2 linked regions of the Tribolium castaneum genome follow. The protein of the gene in region 1 interacts with the protein of each later gene in a pairwise test. Links are inferred from orthologs where the notes say so. Each region holds a gene or a part of one and is shown on either strand. Other genes may lie near its edges.

What was found.
Region 2: the proteins of syd (region 1) and Klc interact in binary tests that used the Caenorhabditis elegans proteins (3 or more experiments, as listed by UniProt). The link is inferred for Tribolium castaneum from reciprocal best matches to the Caenorhabditis elegans genes unc-16 and klc-2.

Annotation. Positions count from the first base shown.
Region 1 is NC_087394.1:36,808,011-36,811,765, forward strand, and holds the start of syd (JNK-interacting protein 3), read left to right. Parts: upstream 1-1,006; 5' UTR 1,007-1,203; coding exon 1,204-1,428; intron 1,429-1,473; coding exon 1,474-2,181; intron 2,182-2,411; coding exon 2,412-2,481; intron 2,482-3,755. Other genes in the region: myeloid differentiation primary response protein MyD88, read left to right, coding at 1-163, 546-873. UniProt on the Caenorhabditis elegans protein: The JNK-interacting protein (JIP) group of scaffold proteins selectively mediates JNK signaling by aggregating specific components of the MAPK cascade to form a functional JNK signaling module.
Region 2 is NC_087402.1:3,660,507-3,664,261, forward strand, and holds the start of Klc (kinesin light chain), read left to right. Parts: upstream 1-1,157; 5' UTR 1,158-1,183; coding exon of another isoform or gene 1,184-1,200; intron 1,201-1,618; 5' UTR 1,619-1,691; coding exon 1,692-1,720; intron 1,721-1,881; coding exon 1,882-2,098; intron 2,099-3,742; coding exon 3,743-3,755. UniProt on the Caenorhabditis elegans protein: Kinesin is a microtubule-associated force-producing protein that may play a role in organelle transport. The light chain may function in coupling of cargo to the heavy chain or in the modulation of its ATPase activity.

The DNA of each region.
Region 1 (3,755 bases):
AAAGGAAAATTATTCCTTGCATTTATAAAAATCTAACAACGAATCCGCCACATATGAAGTGTCTCTTCACTTTGGATTTTCAACGAATGGCTGCTTTCAATGTGTGGGATAAGTTACGTGATTCGATCAGAGTGGTCAGTGCGGAAAAATTCAAAGTTAACAGGTATTGCCTACTTGATTTTTGTTACTTTGAATAAAATTTTTGATCAAGTAGACTTTGACTGAAATTAAGTTGGTAACATTTGCTATCGTCTGTTTTTAAGGTAAGGCTGTTTTTTCACTAACACACTAAATATTTGATTTTTGGGTTGATTTCCTGCAATTTTTTGCATATTTTTGTGTTGAATGTTCGAAAAAGTAAAAAATAAACCCATTTTCTAATCATTTCGGCGATTTCTGGATTCAATTTACCATTTACTACATAATTATTGAACAGAATGTTCGGGGAAATACTCAAACGACTTAAGTTCAGTGTTGGCAACTTAATTTCAGTCATAGACCACTTCGATTAGAGTTCAATTAATTCAATGCGAGTGTAATTGCAGGTCCCAATCCGACAATGGTCAAGTGTTGAGGTCCGCTTTACATCAGAGGGACCCTATCGGTCTCAGACCGTTAAATCACGGCGTAAAATTTAGCAGTAGTGTAGGTGATTTGAAAAGCACAGAGGCTATAAGCGAACCACCGCTCAATCCCAGTACAAGTGCCGACAATTTAGAATCGTGTTCGGAACAGAAAAAAGAGAAGAAAACCACTTTGTTGAAAAAAATCAAAGGCCATTTCAAGCGAGATAAAGATTGCTCATCCAAGGCGGAAAAAGGAAGCAAAGGATTGAAGAAACACTTGAAGCGAGCCACAGCCGTCGCGAACTGATGCATTTTATTTGTGATTTGTGTAAATAAGTGCAATTATTTTTAATAAATATGATTGAATTTGTTGTGGGGATTTTCATTTTGTCACCAAACCCTAGTTACTGCGCAAAATATGATTTGGCAACAAAGCAGTGGCAAAAATGACAGTTGTTCCTCCAGCCCGATTTTTGTCATCATAAACAGTGGGTGTAACAAAAAATCGCACACTTTTCCATCACCAGTGCCCCCAGAATGTGCCCCACGTTGTAAAATCATCACAACACAATGTTCCCTCAAGTGACAATGTGCTATTCTTGATTGGGCAAAAGTAGGTTGAATAGTTGGTTAAATAATGGATTTGGCTGACTCCGGCGGTGGTCTTGGACCCGAGACCATCTACGGGACGCACGAGGACTCCCATGTGGTGATGTCGGAGAAGGTGCAATCGTTGGCTGGTAGCATCTACCAGGAGTTCGAACGAATGATCGCACGCTACGACGAAGACGTCGTCAAGACCCTCATGCCCCTGCTGGTGAACGTGCTGGAGTGTTTGGACGCGGCGTATCAACAGAACCAGGTACTTGACTCAATTTTAGTGAATTTAAACCGAGAGTTTGGTTAGGAGCACGACGTGGAGCTGGAGCTGCTCCGCGAAGACAACGAGCAGTTGGTCACGCAGTACGAGCGCGAGAAGGGGGCGCGCAAAGCCGCCGAGCAGAAACTCCTAGAGTTTGAAGACGCCGCCGAAGGGGAGCGCAAGGAGTTGGCCGCACGGCTCGAAGCGCTGGAAAGCATCGTCAGGATGCTGGAGCTGAAGCACAAGAACTCGATGGAGCATGCGGGACGTTTGGAGGAGCGTGAAGGGGAGTTGAAGAAGGAATACGCCAAGTTGCACGAACGCTACACCGAGTTGTTCAAAACACACATGGACTACATGGAGCGGACGAAGTTGCTGCTTTCTGGACAACAGCTGGCCAATGAGCGGGCCGAAGCCGGCCGTTTGAACTCGAATCGGATTAATATAGGGCGCAGTTCGGGGCCCATCTCCTTCGGGTTCACCTCCTTGGAGAATGCCGAGGTGGTGGACAGTGTTCCGTCGTCGCCGATTAGTAGTACGCATTCGTCGCCGAGTTTGCACAGCGAGTTGGATAATTTGGACAAGAAGATGGTGGAAAGGGGGCAAGAGACTGATTCGCTCAATTTGGAAAATAAAAGTGTGATAACATCGCCGGTGAGTCCCCCAGGTCAACCGACAACTAACAATAATACGGGGAGGTTGAAGAAGGAACAAAGGAGTGGGAACACGTTGTATCAAGAGTTGAGTTTTCAGGTTGGTTGATTGTCTTTTGCTAAGGGTCAGTGCACATGATGGGGTCAAAGAGCGTGAATTATCGGGCGTTTGAGAGATTTTAATGTTTGTTGATTTATCTCACCTTGGGTAAAATATCAAAGCTTTTATGCAAATATTTACAAGAAATAACAAAAGATTAACTATGTTTTTTTATTATTATTATCTTGTTGTGTGTTGTAATATCTGTTTTTTTTATTATTTTATGATAGGATGTGGATGGCGATGATGATGGTGACATAACCGGAGGTTGGGTCCATCCAGGTGAATACGCTTCATCAGGTAAGCATATACAGAGTGACTGGGAAAAAGCATGAAATTTTTTCACTACTTTTGGCTCGCACCTCATTTTTTGACAAGAAAATCATAATAATTTATGCCAAATAAATAACTGCTACAGAAACACAATTATTACGTTAAAAAGTAAAAACAAAATGTGAGTTAACAGTTTTCGGACACTTTATTGATAAAAGATTAATTTCAAGCTATTTAAATTTTGTAGGAGAGAATCGTCTGTCTTCTTATGAATTAGTTTGTCGCCTTTCAATTTGCGATTACGTAAAATTTTCCTGTTGAACAAAGTGTAAAAAACCGAAAAAAATAGTTAAGTCACTATCAGCGGATGTATTATGAAACGTTTATTTTGTCTGTTTCCTCAATTTACTCGATTGTAGAACAAAATCTTTTAATGTATTCATAAACTAATATATTCAATTTCGGATACGAATATTTCTGGTCGTGGTTTGCTGTGGTTTTCTCTTTCTAGCATGAACGTAGGTTGCGTGATAAGTTGATTTGGTTTTCTGTCAACTGTTTAAATGTTGTCTTATTTTTGCATTTAGGAGTTTTTGATAAAAATCATATTGAAAATCATCATAATTGTATGTAGGCGTTTAAGAATTTTCTCTGCAAGCTCAATTGAACGTGTGAATTTTTGGCCTGACACTGACAGCTGTCATTTGTCATTGTTTTGTAATGTTAACCGAGACATACGTTTTTTGCTTTTTTAGAGTTTTTGTTTTTTTCTAGAGCAATAATATAAAAAAAAACTTCTTGTAAAACTGAATTCGGTGTATTACCAAAAAATTTACAAAAAACAAAAACAAAATTTGCCCAAATTGTGTTCCACATTTTTCAGGACAATGAAAATCTTTCAAAAAAATTAATATTTATATTTAAAATTTGAAAGCTTCACGCTAGTATAATTAATAGAAACAAGTCTAATAATTTCGGGTAATAAGCATATTTTTTTATCGAAGCACCAAATAATCAGGACTCATTTTTATCTTGAATTTTCGAGGTTTCGGTCAAGGTTCATTTCAATATCGCATATAAATCAAGCTCTGAAAATGCTTATCTACATTTTCGTCAATTTCAAAACTCTATTCTGGTCAAAGTGTCAAAAAATTCCACAGAAATTTTGAAATTTCTACATAAAATGTAACGAAAATTAACTATTTCTCTTAATTTTTGCTGGAAATTCCGAATTCACCTCTTGATTTACACCAATGTTGATCTAAATTTCGTAATTTTCAGTTTCAGAAATGCTTTGAAAA
Region 2 (3,755 bases), on another chromosome or scaffold:
CGAATCGATGTCGTCGAACCGGCGCAATGCCACGGCCATATCGATCACCACAATGCGACACGATTATTTTTATAGCGCACGCCACTGCTCGCCCGGAAAATTACAAACCCCGCAAACACGCCTCCACTGGTTTATTTGAACAGACCGCGCAGTCACGTGACACCAGCGCTGCCTTCGTACAAAAAAAAATAAAAAGCGTGCTCGATTGTTTATGGAAATTGGATGTTACGTCATGCTTTTACTGCAAAAATCGAACTGATAACGCTATCACCTACCTTTGTGGCTTACTAAAGTCATATAAAATGGTAGCGCCCTTCTGGACGATGACTCCCACAGAAGCAAAAACTAAAGAAAAAGGTCCGTTCAAGGGTCGATCAAGGAAAGTGTCCGGCTGGAGTTTGCTGCAAAAACACCGAGTTTGATTTATTTTTAGGCAGAAAAAATAAGCAAAAAGTATGCATGTAACGTGATCTCACCTTTTATTTGTAGCACCTTCCACGGACCATCTATGACCGAATTAACGCTCAAACAATTAGACGACACGTCAGACAAAGTACTAAACTAATTAAAATGCCAGTTTGAAGGCACAATTGGGGGAAAAACCAACAACACAGCTAAATTGCTGCTACTTTACTGAATCGCCATATGCAGATAGTCGCCTGACTTTTCGACGAACTCACAGGTGCGCACCCGCAACCGGACAAAACTTAAATCCCTAAATTGACACGAAAAAATCGGCTAAAACGGGCTTTGCCCTCTAAATTTGTCCACAGTCGTTTCGGCAAAGTGTTTAATTAATTACTGGGGTGTGTTTTGCAAGCCAGAACCCTGATTTGTGTTACTTTAACCCGGCTTAGTGGCACCCGGTAGGTGGCGCCCCTGATTTGGCAATCATCTGTCACTCTTCTAACACTGAGAGAAAAAGGAATGAGAAGAGAGTTATCAAAAGCGCAGCCATTAATGTCAGAAGAAAGTGATTGCAGTGTCAAAAATAGCCCAATTTGAGTGTTTTAACGCTTGGCTGCCAAATAAAGGTGAGTAAGCGTCCCCCCGATCGTTTGGGGGCACAGTTCAAGTGTCGGTGTCCTTCCTTCCGTTGGTCAATTTTTGTGATTTATTTATGTCGCAGGTTACGCTATGGTCTACTGATTGCCATAGCAGGTGAGCAGTGCATTCCCGTGGCATGGATGATAGCAACACGTAAGTATTTTTCAATCGTCACGCTTGGCAAAGTAACGAGGAAGCGCCCCTGTAAAAATCGGGCGTGAGTCACGGCTCGGAGTGTACGCCCCCGCCGTCACACGTGTATTGGTTTCCGATCGAAAGGGGTGCAAATTTCTGATGGGGTTCGTCGGGCTATGGGGCGCAGGCGCGGCGTCGCGACGCAGTACGTTTGATGCACCGACGTCAGTTTTCGCGTTTTTACCGAAAGTGGCACACCCTTTTTCGAGCTATGGGGTGGAAAGGGAAGGCGGCGTGATGTTCTAGGGGGCCTTATTATTGATTGCGGGGGTGATCGTTGACCAAAAATATATTTTTGCATTGTCTCATATTCCGTCTTGTGATAACGCCTTGCACTTTTACAATAATCAAAAATATAAATAAGGTTTTTGTATAGACGCTCAATTTAAACGATCGTGAGGTGATGAACGAGGTGCTCATTGGAATTAAGAGGACGCATTCGAAAAAACATGTCTAAAACGATCAACGCGTATAGGATGTAAGTTGGTTTTGTTTTCAGTTCAAGCTTTTGTGTTCTTGTGGCGGTCTTGCTTGCCTTTCGTTTGTGCTACTTGAAATCCGGCGTTTTTTCTACAAATTTCTAACCTAATTGTGGCATAATTCCGCCGCCACTTCCTTGAAGTTGTCGTTTATTTCCAGTAAGAAAATTGAAAGTTTGGGAAAAATGACGGCGATGTCGCAGGAAGAGATCGTCTCAGCTGTGCGAACGGTGGCTCAGGGGTTGGAGGCGCTCCGCTCAGAGCACGCCGGCATCCTCCATGGCCTCCACGAAGCCCCCGATCCGGTGGCCAATGAACGCGCCGGTCTGGTGCAACAAAGTGCAGAAATGATCGAATTGGGACTGGGAGAAGCGCAAGTATGTTCTATTTTTCTTTCTAATCAGATAAAATCGTCGGTGTGTGAGAGACGAAAGGGGCACCCGATTGCATCGATCGGGGAGCACCGATGACTCATACTAAGGCGAGTGGGGAGGGAAGGAAAAGGAAGGAGAGTGTCGAAGCCAATTGATGACTTTCTAAAATTGGATTTAATTTATTTTGTCGCGGTTCTATTATTTTCGACGGGATTTCAGATGCCAATCGATTATAATTGGAGGATTAAGATAAGAGATTGGGTTGTAATAAACCATGAAATGATTGTTTGTTTGTTTTGAATGAGAGATAAAAAAGAAATGGCGGCCTAATTCCGGGTTTAATTTGTTTTATTTGAAAAAAAAAATAAATAAATAATTAAAAATTGTGAAAGTCGTACTTGGATTACGAGTTGTAGAAACTAACAATTATTTAACTGTAACAAACCATGCAATTTAAAAGTTAAATGGTAAATTTGACCTAGAACTTGAAGTTTTCTTCTATAATTACAGATAAAAATACCTGATTAAAACTGAAAAAAATCTTCTTATAAGTCAGTTTATACCGGTCTTGAGTAAATTACATATGATATTATTTCACAACCTACCCAAAAATTATATTGTCATTAGATTGTGTACCCACGATTTTAATTAAAAAATTTAAAAAATAATTATTGAGACCAAAGTACAATATTCAGTTTTATTGTTGATTGTTCATAAAAATCTCATTTGCTTGTAATAACGTCATCACTGTCATTACATGCATAAGAATAATAAGTTTGGTGATGAGTTTATTCATGAATTTGCTTCAATAATATTCACAATACTTCCAAGTGTCTTAAATATCTTTTGAATGATACTTTTGAAGGTGACGAAACAACAATTATTATTGTTAAATCATTATACTTTTACCATATTTCTTAACAAAAATTGGGTGTTTACAAATTAAAATCTGTATCAATTAGACTTTCTTTCTGCTCATCGAGCTTTAAATCTCGTGGGATGATTATTGATGATGTTTATTGCGGTTTTTATGTCCTCACCCTATCCTTTTGTTTTTCTATTTCCACGTTTTTTATTCAAACGTTGTTTTTCGTTCTTGGTTTCCAGGAAAAACAAGTTTTTATGGCTTTGGTTATAGGGCTGTAAAAAACTTGGTGCCTCAAGTATGTTCGATATTTTTTGTATAACATGATGGCCTGTTTCGGTAAATAATTGTTAAATTAACACTAAAAAGTTCTTCGTTTGGCAGCCTGTAATCAAATTAATTTAAGCCGATCGTAAAATTGAGATAATTTCATCGTCTTATTGTAGCAAGTGTCATAAAAATAATTCGCTTTTGTTTGTTAATTTACTTATTAAACTGAATTTTTTCTTTCTGACATAATTAACTCCTGCTGATGCCTGATTTTAAAAATGAAACCACTGACCACAAAAATACAATAATTATAGTCTCTTGTAACGAAAAAAAGTCGCGTGTTCGAACTGTCCTTGGACAAGTCTCCTCACTGATTTTTTAAATTGTTACTCAAAATCAATGAAAGTAATTAAATTTGTGAATTTAAACACCGTGAAAGGGATTTTGCTTCCAGGGAAACGCATTAATTGGTAGAAATGTCGCATTTTAAGGCAAGTAAATTTCTCCTTCAGGTGATAATGGCCT